Drosophila melanogaster: one gene and its partner. The protein of the gene in region 1 interacts with the protein of each later gene in a pairwise test. Each region holds a gene or a part of one and is shown on either strand. Other genes may lie near its edges. The genes, in order: side-II and Sec63.

Region 1 (4,951 bases):
GTGGAATTTCCGGAATTGTTCATTATGTTTTCCTTACATGAGCTGGTTTGCTAGTTATACTCTTTGCGAATAACTCATAATTTGTTTACGTTGAAACTTAAAATGCAATAAACTAATTTTGAGGCTATATTCTAAAATATCTTTATTTTAATACAACAAAAAAGTAAAATAAAATTTTCAAGACATTTGTACCATAGCTCAATTTAAAATTTTTGCTTGCTTGAAATACCGAAATTCAACAGAACAAAACTCAGGGCAAATGAAGATTTACATTTCAATTTGCATTAGTGCAAAAGGCAAAGAAAAACTTTCTTAATGCACGCATTAAAAAAGAATGATGAAATTGCATAAAACTTTAACTGAGTTGTAAGCAAAACTGCGGTGGGTTTGAAGGAGTGGGAGGGTAAAAAGTACATTAAAATCACATTAACCCGTCAACGGTGAAGTTTGGTTGGGTATGCTTAACTTTTGTTTATACGTTTCGGCTTAATGCCTTTTTGAAGTAAGCACACACTCGTGGATAATGTTATACGTACTCCTGATAAGCCATATATACAAATATTTATATATATATGCATGTAAACTAACCCCTAACTGCTTATCCCTTTGGGAAATGTATCTTTTCCCCTCTCCTATTTTCGTTGGACCCATTGCACGTAATTGACTTTTCGCCATAAATTTGTACTCCAACAAATGCAGGCGACATTCCACTCTGGCTTTTTCATTTCCCACTCCCTTGGCAGCTCAATTAGCCATTAAGCTTTTCGAAATTGTCAAAAATGTTTTAAGGGGGACAGTACGCCAGCATAGCCAATCAAAAATTCAGCCTACGCACTTGTATCTCTACATTTGTATCTCGGCATTTGTATCTGCCTGTGGCAGAGGACAACCAGAGCTTCGGTCAAAAACGCACACCCCTTCACCGTTATCTCCGTTTTTTGGGTTAGCCGTGCGTGTCCATTTAGACGCTTTGCATTGGCTCTGCTGGTGGCTCATTTGCATATTTTAATTGTCCAAAAACGAGAGGGAAATTCGTAAAATCACTGCAAGACTTAAATATTAACTTTGCCAGAAGTTTGTAATTTCTCACTCTTTCACTTCCATTTACTGAACTAATTTATTTATTTTCTCCGAAACTAAGCAGCAAATGTAAGCAAGTACTTCGTCTTGGAACAGGAGTGAAGCGAAAGGCCTGACGTTGTCACTTTTCTCTAATGAAAGACGGCATGCAAATTTAATAAACAGGCGAAAGGCATGAAATTTGGGTCCTCTTCAGGTGGGCTGCTCACAACTTTAGTTGGCCCGAGCTCGAGGAACTGCAACTTTAGGGCCAAGACAGTGACTGCCCTTCTTGGCAGTGTTCCGTTATTTGACAGAAAATATAATGAAATATCTAATTAAAATTAATTTTTATTTATTATCTTGACATAATTGTAACACTCATTTTTAACGAGCACTGTTTAAATTACACATTACTAGAGTACATTAAGAAAGTTCTGAGGCTTGAAACTTTTGAAGTCATTCCATTATTTCTTTAAAGCCAAATAAACATTTTATTTTATTTAATAAAACAACATTAAATTTACATATGAATTATTCTGCAAAGTGAAATTCAAATATTGGTAAAAAGTGTTGATATTTTATTTCTACAAGAAATTACCAGAAGCATTTACTTATCTTTTGGAAAGTCTTTTTATACATTTTATACCACTACTTTATTTTGCATTGCTAGACAAAGGAATGGAAATAAAAAATATGAGCAAGACGGAAAAAAAAAACAAGTAAATAAACTTTAGGCAAAAAGTTTTAGGCAACTTTCTGGCAGTCAGTTGGCGCATTTTAAGTTACGGCAATCGACCCAGTGGCGTAGCGGAAAAGAGGGGTATCACGGGGGAATATAAGTTGCTAGCGACGAGGGAAAAGTGAAGGGGCGGCAAAAGTGAAAAACTGGCGCATCGAGACAAGAGCTTAAACCGCGAATTCCACAGCTTCAACACTGAAAAAATCCCAGCCATATCTGCAGTAGCAAATAACCAAAACCTTACAACATTTTTTGAAAAATATATAAATTAAAAAAAGATAAAAAAGGCTAATTTTACTTCTAATTATTTTAGTTTTCTCACAGTCACTGTTAACTATATCAGTCCAACCAGACGAACAATTTTATAACGAGACATAATTTCTGTTTTAATTATACATTTACCACTTGAAAAAAGAACGTAAAAAGAATTATGTAACATGGCAAACTCACTTAATTAATTAGAAAGTTACCAGAAGCTTAATTTATCTGAGACGTTTTTCTCTAACTGCAGCAACTGCGAGGGCGGTTGGCAATTTCAACTTTAGTTAGTAAACTTTTGGGCAAAAAGTCACTCTTAAAGAGCAAAAAGTGAGCTCGTCCAACTTACCTGGCGAGCAATTTAAATTTGTCCCACGCAGGATAATCCTTTATTGCAGTTGTTGCTATTTGTGTTTGGTGGTGGTGGTGCTGCTGCTGCTGTTGCTTCTGTTGCTGCTTTTGTTGCTAATATTATTGTTGCTACTGTTGCTTGACTTTTGTCACGCACAAGAAGGCAGTGGGCCAAGCCAACTTTGAACTGACCACGTGACCATCAAAACACAAACAAACACACGGTAACGAGAATATACACACCGGGTCACACGAACAACAACAACACGGACACAGACACACACACACACACAACGAAGACACTGGGCCACTTGCAAATACTTAGTTGCTGGTTTTAATGTATGCCCGAAACGAGAACAGGGCAATTAAATCGCCTAAGAGGAGCCGTAGTGTAGCCTTTTGTGTGTGCAACAATATCAGCTGCTCGCTGAGTGAGTCGCATGATTTTATTTGCCTTTATTATTCGGAAAACCAACAGCACGCAAACCTCAATGCAGTTCAAAACCCTAACCAAATTGGCGCAGGTATATTCTAATTAGCTCTTATTGATTTCGATAATTGGTCCTTTCTGGCGGTACGAGAATTATATTTATTCGCGAAACAGCGCACCCGATTCTCAGCGTTTGTGGGTGGGTGTGAGTGTGTGTGCAGGACGAGACCCGATAACTTCGCTAATTCGATGGCTGCCGCAGCGAGCGTCAGCATCCCTGCAAAACCACGTTCAAAACAGTCCGACGGCTGAGCTTCAACTGAATCGGCCTGGCCAACTCAGAGCCCCATAAGCCCCACAAGCCCCACAGACCCCACCGTCCCCCGCCGGAAGTCGGCCGCCCGAAGCTCCGCTTCTCGGTAGCCGAACGCCGAGAACGAGCCCGATCCGAGCTGCAGGATAAGAGCCGAGCGCAGCAAAGGATAACACGAGCGCGAAACTCACGAGCATCTCGCAAGGCAGCTGAGTAAAGAGAACGCAATGAATGAACTGCTCGCTCTCTGTGTTAACAAAATTAAATTATTAAAAATGCAATCAAACGCTTTTGCTAATCTTTTTCAACTCACTTAAAAAGAGATTCATATCCTTAGCACAGATATAAATAAATAACAAAATGCCTTGTAAGCAAGCTCAAAAAATTATATATTATTTTCACCAACATAAGCTATGGAAATAATATTTATTATTTTTATCTACTGTTCACTCTATTTACTTTATTACTAACTTACTTTAGTAAGTTTTAAATAAAACCTTTTCCGAAATATGCAATAAGGTAAAATATTTTATCTATAATAAGTGTACTTATTGTCTCTATTATCAATCGCCTATATTTTGATCGGTAATTGTGAGATTTAAAAATTGGAGATAAGAAAACATGAGAATTTCATGCAGTAGCAGAATTCAAAGTTTCAAAACGAATAATCACAGAGCAAAAAGCAAAGAGTAAAACTCTTATACTTTCCTCAGTTTTGGTATAAAAGTGGTTCAATGCTTGGCTAAGCTTGGACTCCACCCACTATGTAAATTTGTAGTGTAAAATGTTGAACATTGTGTAAAATGTTGCCTTCTTTCAATTTAAAAAAGTTGTTGAACTAACATAATGCTGAAATTAAAATTAATAAGATAGTTAAATAATAACAAGGTAAAGAGGAAATATTTCAAGGAATTAATAGCTATCAAAAAGCAAAGCGAATACTGAATAATTGAACTCTGTCAAATAGTTGAAAGGAAAAGCGAGATTTGATTTTGATTTTTTTACTGTAGCTTTTACCTTTCCATCTGTCACCAATTACAGATCAAATCCAATCAAAACTAGGGACTACCAGCTAATTAACTACAGAGTTACCTCATCCTCTTGCGCCATGGCCTCCTTCCACCAGAGTTTTATCAACCTTCGTCGCATCGCTTTTAACTGCAATCACTCAGAGTAAAAATTGTCGTCAAGATACGTACAAACTCATACAAGACGCGTAAAAAATGGCAAGCGAAGGAGACAGACAGAAAATAAAACCCGAAAATGAATTGCAGCGAAATGTTCAAACACACTCTACGAAATTGACTTAAATAAATAAATGGCATAAAAACAAAGACAAAACACATGCGCAGCAAGAAAGTGAATCGAGAGGCAGGGGACAACGGCGTGTCATAGAAACAAAGTGCATTCCCAGTGGTGGAAAATTGGGTGGGAAATTCCTAAAGATGAGGCGGATTGGGGCGGGGCCGGTCCGGGCTTGGTTGTTGTGTTAGCTTGTTGCAACATTTTCATTTCATTTTATTCAGTTCAGTTCAGTTCAGTTCAGTCAATGCAATGCAATGCAACGTTCGAATGCAACAATTGCAAGTGCAGCAAAGACAACGCTTAGTAGCTCATCCATTTTCATTTGTATTAAGCAAAAGGCAAAGGACATGGCCAAGTTGCAGAGGAATCTCAATCTCTTCGCGTTTTCCGCTCGCGTGAAATAAAAGCGTTGGCATTACTCAGCAAATACTTGTTTGCTTGTTGCCTTGACAAAAAGTCTATAACCCACCCCCAATAACTACTCTTAAACCCC
Region 2 (6,341 bases), on another chromosome or scaffold:
GTTGTAGACGCTGTGCGTGAGCAGCACCAACGAAGCGGACAATTGCAAAACATCCATCGCAACTATTTCGTCACCGTCTTTTGCTTTCTGTGGAAGATCATAAATTTCATAAGTTTAATCTATCTAGCCTAATCTAATCACAGTCTAAGTTTCGAGACTTGCCAATATCAGATCCAGCACACCATTGGCAACTCCAGTGCCCGATACCACAATCGAGGATATGTTCATGCTATTCACAGTCAGTTGGGTGATCTATGTGAGTACATATTTAACATTTTTATTCCATTGTTGATTGCGTGGGGGGGGGGGTTTAAGGACTCACCGCTCCCACCTCGCGTCCAGCATTTGTGGCCGTTGTCAAGACTGTGGTGGCCCCAGCCGCTGCCAATCCCACAGTGCCACCAGCCACGCCCAACCAGTGACCACGCGCTTCGCGGTCCGTCACATTGATAGACTGCTCATGTTGGCTGCGATCGAATAGCTTGCTGCCAGACCGCGATGCGGCGTATCCAGCACTGGCCAAACCTACTACTCCCGCTGCGCCCATCAGCGGAGCGGATACGGGCAGCGTTAGCAGGGCAGCAATGGGCACACAGGCAGCAAAAAATCCTCCGACTGCCGACCCAGTATCCAGGTAGCCCAGCACCTTCCTGTTGGTCGTGCCCGCCGGCGTTGTGTACTTATCCAGACGTACTTGATCCCTGACCAAGCGGTAAATACCCTTCTCTGGGGCCACCATCACTCCGGCAGGCAACTCGTTGGTGGTCACATACATCTCCCAGTTTTGGTAGACCCGACCAAGCTCGTCGATAAACAGATTGCAGCAATTCGAGCTGACGCTGCTGGTGCCACTACTGCCAACTGAGTATTAAATGGATCCATTGATAGATAGATAGGAAATATATTGTAAATTGCATACGTATGCAAAGGATGACTCACCGACGCATCGACGGGCCCGAAAGACTGGGTGCACGCTGAAGACTCTGGCGTCCTCGGCGCGATTGACGTCCGTTTCGTCAGTTACCACCATTACGTAAATGATCGCCGTCAGCGATTGACGGTTGGTATACTTTCCTGGAAAACAATTGTACGCAGTTAAGGCAGCGAAAAAATGTACTATACTATATACAATCTGTAAGTCCAACTCACGTTGCTGCCAAACGGAATCGAAAATGATCTGACGGGCGCGCTCATTATCTGCGTTGACCTTCAGCCGGATTTTTCTGTCTTTTTCAGTTTCCGTTGCAGTTTTCGGTTCCGGAGAATCACGAATCAATTGACAGAGTTTGCCCCTTAGCACGTCATGTTGTTCATGGGACAACCTGTAAGGGGTTACGTCATTACCCCAAATACTTTGAATTCAAAATTCTAATGCGCAGTAGCAGTACTTACAGATCCCAGATTATCTCTTCCGCGTAGCCGAGCGACTCGGCAAAGTTTTGCTGCACTTCACGTGCGGTGCGGGTAACTTCATGGTTTCCTAATCTATTCGCCATCCCTAAGTTGTCACCTTTCCGTTGCCACAGTTGTGCTGCTAATGGAGTTGTGCCACGGAATCACCAGCTTTTAAGTTAAGGCGCACACTAATTGAACGATCGTACTCGAAATACCGAAAAGGCAAGACGGCAGAAAAGCTCTCTAGGGATCATACCTTTATATGAATACCCCGTATTCCACCGTCACCTTCTTTGGTGAGCAAAATTTAAAAAGCTGCTAGCGTGCTAAACCCAAAATGTAACGAGACGATGAGCTCATGCTAATCAGATATTTGCTTTGTATTTCTAGCGAGCACATATTATATTATAAAAAAAAAAAATATATATATATATATATATAGGCAAATCCATTTAAAAATATACATTTACATTGAAAACTTGCTGACAAAAGTTTTGCTTGCAAACATTTTTAGTACTTGGTGACCTAAAAAATCAGATTCTAAACTTAGTACTGCCAGCTTTGGCAACCCTAAACTATGAATGCTGCCTCCCGCCTATCGATAGCCGTGCAATCGAACCGGCTCCGCTCCAGCTACGCCTATCGGTTCCAGCACGAGCCAAACAACCCTACGTGTCAGTCTCATGCGTCGGTGTAAATACAGAGTTTTTTAAGTTCGCGGCGTGCCAATCTCGCGATATCTTGCAGCAGCAGCAGCAACAACACCAGCTCCTGCCCCATTCGAATCTCGCAGATCGCCGCGTGTCGATCGAGAATCCACGGGGCGCAGCGATTGTAGCGATAACTCCAACGCGACAGCAACATCAGCTGGATCTGCCGGAGGAAAAGTGCAGGGGAAAGCGGCGGCAGAGAAAGGAACGGAACGGAACGGAGCCAAAAGGCAGTGCCAGACAAAATACAAAATACATATAGTCGCTGTCGGAGATGGCGGGTCAAAAGTTTCAGTATGATGAGAGCGGCGGAACGTTCTACTACTTTGTGTTATCGTTCTTGGCGCTAATATTGATACCGACCACCATTTACTATTGGCCACGTAAAAAGAAACAAGGTAAGTGCCGCTTGCCAGCCGATTTAAATCGCACTCTCTCCGCTCTTGTTTTTTAATTTTCCACCTGCAGCTGTGCGCGTGTGTATGTGTGTAAGTGAGTGCCAGTAAGGCGAAGGCATAGACATACATGTGATTACCACGCTCTCCTGCTCTAACCCTCCCGCCGCCACCAACAAACTAAATGGACACGTTCCAATAAGTTATTCTAACAACGTCAGCTCATCGTCTTCGTATGGGTGAAAGCTGCGCTGCGATTACCGCAAGTCGAGCTCTCTTCGTTTTCCAATTGGGACAGCGCACTCAACGCTCCACAAGCGTCCATGCGTCGCTAATATCGTGATAACTTACCTATCATCGTGATCGGTGGAGGAGGAGTGATTATGAGCAAGTTACCTTTGACTTATCGCGATCATGCTGTGCTTGTGCACTTTGCACACACGCTCACTGACCAATCGGCTGCTCTCTCACGATTTTCCTCTCGCGAGATTTTCATTTCTGTAGCGCTGGCATTCCCGGTAAAAAAAAAAATGCAATATGCGTAGACAGACCTCAACTAATTTTAATCGTAATCAGGTTAGCAGGTACCTGTAAAGATCGTTTTTTTTTTAAATCATTTTATTAGCCATCTTAAGTGAAAATGATAAATTTCAAATATTTTAAAATAGCCTATATAATCCCCGTACTGACCCAATTTTCGTACACATACTTGCAGATAACAGCAAACTTAAAGAGGAATGTCAGTGCGCCGACTGCCAGAAAAAGAAGACCATCTTGGCCAATGCCGAGCCGTACAGAGCTCTCACGTCATGGACCATCAAGCTGACCATAGTGCTGGGGTGGGCCCTACTGCTCTTCCTCACGTACCGCGTCTCGCAGTTCGACTACGAGATGGCCAGCTTCGATCCCTTCGAGATCCTGAATGTGCCGCCGACGTCGTCGCAGGCCGAGATCAAGAAGGCCTACTACCGGCTGTCCAAGGTGCTCCATCCCGACAAGGAGACGGGTGACGAGAAGTCCTTCATGATGCTGAGCAAAGCGTACCAGGCGCTGACCGACGATGTGGCAAAGGAGAACTACGAGAAGTATGGTAATCCGGATGGACCGGGTGCCATGTCCTTTGGCATCGCCCTGCCCTCGTGGATTGTGGAGAAGGAGAATAGCGTTTGGGTTTTGGGTCTGTACGGCCTGGTCTTCATGGTGGCCATGCCCTCGGCAGTGGGTGTTTGGTGGTACCGCTCCATCCGCTTCAGTGGCGACAAAGTGCTGCTCGATACCACTCAGATGTACTTTTACTTCATCCACAAGACACCGCACATGCTGCTCAAGCGGGCACTTATGGTTCTGGCAGCCAGTTTGGAGTTTGACAAGCGACACAACTCGCAGGTCCAGGAGCGGCAGTCGGACAATGACGAGGTGCCGGCGGTGAGTGCATTTTATTGGAATTTCCATTCGTTGTTCGCTCACTAATAACACTTCCTTTTCGAATACAGCTGATTAGACAGCTGCCCAATCTGAATGAGAAGTGCAAGGAGCATCCGCTGTGCCGCATGTACTCCATCAAGGCTCGCGCCATCCTGCATGCCCATCTCAGTCGCATGCCCCTCAATCCGGAAACTCTGGAGCGCGATCGCCAGTTTGTGGTGAAGAAGTGCCCGTATTTGGTGCAAGAAATGGTCTCCTGCGTTCACCAGCTGGTCATGATGGCCTATGCCCGACGTGTGCCCCGCCTGCCCAGCATCGAAACGATTGAGAACTGCATGAAAATGTCGCCGATGATTATCCAAGGCCTGTGGGAGTTCAAATCGCCACTGCTGCAGCTGCCCCATCTCACCGAGGACCATCTGTACTTTATGAACAAGAAGAGGCACGTCAAGAACCTGCAGCAATTCGCCCAGCTCAAGCCGGAGGAGAGCCGTCAGCTTCTGAAGAACCTATCTGACTTTGAGTACGAGAACACGATGAAAGTGCTGGGCAAGATGCCGCTGATTGACTTCTCCATTCGCTGCGAGGTTATCGACGATGAGAACACCAATGTGGTGACCGCCGGGGCCATAGTTACGGTCACGGTTACGCTGGAGCGCAAGGACATGAAGACGCTATTCGGTGACACAAAGGCGCCTGAGAAGCAGGGCATCAAGGATGAGACCAATGAGGAGGCTGCCGGTGATGAGGATGAGGCTGCTGCCGCTGCGCCGGTCAAGAAGGCTTCTGCCTGGGCCAAGCCACGTAAGGGTGGCAAGGGAAAGGGTGGTAAGAAACCAGCCCAGAACCAAAAGAACCAGAAGAAGGTGCCGGCCAAGGCTGCGACAACAGCTACGATCACGGCATCCGAGGATCAAGCGGCGGCGGGTAACTCCGATGCCGAATCGGAGGCTGGAAATGCGGATGGCAGCGATGTGGAATCGGCTGCCGGCAGTGGCAGCGAGGATGAGGAGAAGGGCAAGAACAACTCCTCGCTGGACGACGACGATGACGAGGAGTGGGAGCGACTGCAAGCTAAGCTTAACAAGAGGGAGCGTCTCGAGGGCAAGTCTCGGCTGTCGCACACCGTCCACTGCCCCTACTTCCCCGAGGAGAAGCAGGAGTACTGGTGGACCTACATATGCGATCGCAAGTCGCGCACCCTGCTCACAGCGCCCTATCATGTGACCAATCTGGTCGAGAAGGAGGAGATCCAGCTGAAGTTTACCGCGCCGCGCTGGCCGGGCGTCTACACGTTCACCGTTTGCCTGAGATCGGGTGAGTTTCTAAAAGAGTTTGGATTGCATAGTACATTGGCATTCGAAGGGGGGATTCTCACACAATGTTTCCTCTGTTTCAGACTCGTATTTGGGTATGGATCAGCAGCAGGAGCTGAAGTTGGATGTACAGAAGGCTCCCGCACCACCGACGGATCATCCTCAGTGGGATCTGAGCGAATCGGAACCGGAGCACACCGATCAGCAGGAGAACCTGAGCGACTATACAACAGATACGTCCGATGAGGAGGACGGCGAATAAATCCACTGTCTACATGGACAGTGCGACGGACGGACGGACGGATGGATAGACGTCCTGAACCCCAATCAACCTCAACCTCCTCTCTAATTCACTGGGACGGAAGAGAAGCCTCTTTGTTTTCCTTTTAGTAAATGAGTTTCGCGTGGCGCGTGGCGGAGGCACACCAATGCGAACCCTTCCTTCGCATTTTTACTAGTTTTGTAATGGAAAAGACCCCGAACTAGTGCGTAAATAACTATAACTTCATTTTACCGTGTACTGTACTAAACATAATTATAATGTACTGTATATTTAATTATTTGGATACAAGAACTAAAAGTGAGACACGTAAATACAAAAGTCTATTGATATTACTACTCTTTTGTTGTGTTATAAACTGAGAAAGAAAAACCCACGGGCTTGTTGCTACTTTCGCTCACTTTAATGCTGAATTAACATAAATTTACTGCACAATTTGCTGAATTTCTAGATTAACATTTTATTCAATTAAATAAATAGCATCACAATTACTTTAATTTAAACCATTCAAGTTATTGACCACGCCTAAACCTTAGCAATTTTTAAGTTTTTTTTTTTATTACATTTTTGCTAAGCCTTTGGATAAACTAATTGCTTACAGCTTTTAGAATTTGAATATATTTTAGCGCAAAAGTAAATTAATTTTGTAATAAATAAAAAACGGTTGTATCATTGTTAGAGTATCGACACATAAAATAATAAATCAGCAAAAACAAGTGAGAATTGCAACAAGCCCGAATAGTTTGTGGAAATCATAAAAATAATTTAAATCAAAGTTGGCGCTGCCTCTGTCTGCGCTGACGTCGACGCCTACTGCGCA

What was found.
Region 2: the proteins of side-II (region 1) and Sec63 interact in a two-hybrid assay, tested with the Drosophila melanogaster proteins (one large-scale study listed by BioGRID).

The regions. Positions count from the first base shown.
Region 1 is NT_033779.5:14,969,135-14,974,085, forward strand, and holds the start of side-II (sidestep II), read right to left. Parts: upstream 3,167-4,951; 5' UTR 2,409-3,166; intron 1-2,408.
Region 2 is NT_037436.4:7,358,529-7,364,869, forward strand, and holds Sec63 (secretory 63), read left to right. Parts: upstream 1-2,032; 5' UTR 2,033-2,379; coding exon 2,380-2,503; intron 2,504-3,110; exon of another isoform or gene 3,111-3,215; coding exon 3,216-3,925; exon of another isoform or gene 3,926-3,993; coding exon 3,994-5,242; intron 5,243-5,324; coding exon 5,325-5,503; 3' UTR 5,504-5,838; downstream 5,839-6,341. Other genes in the region: pst (pastrel), read right to left, coding at 1-87, 163-252, 323-861, 940-1,322, 1,393-1,496.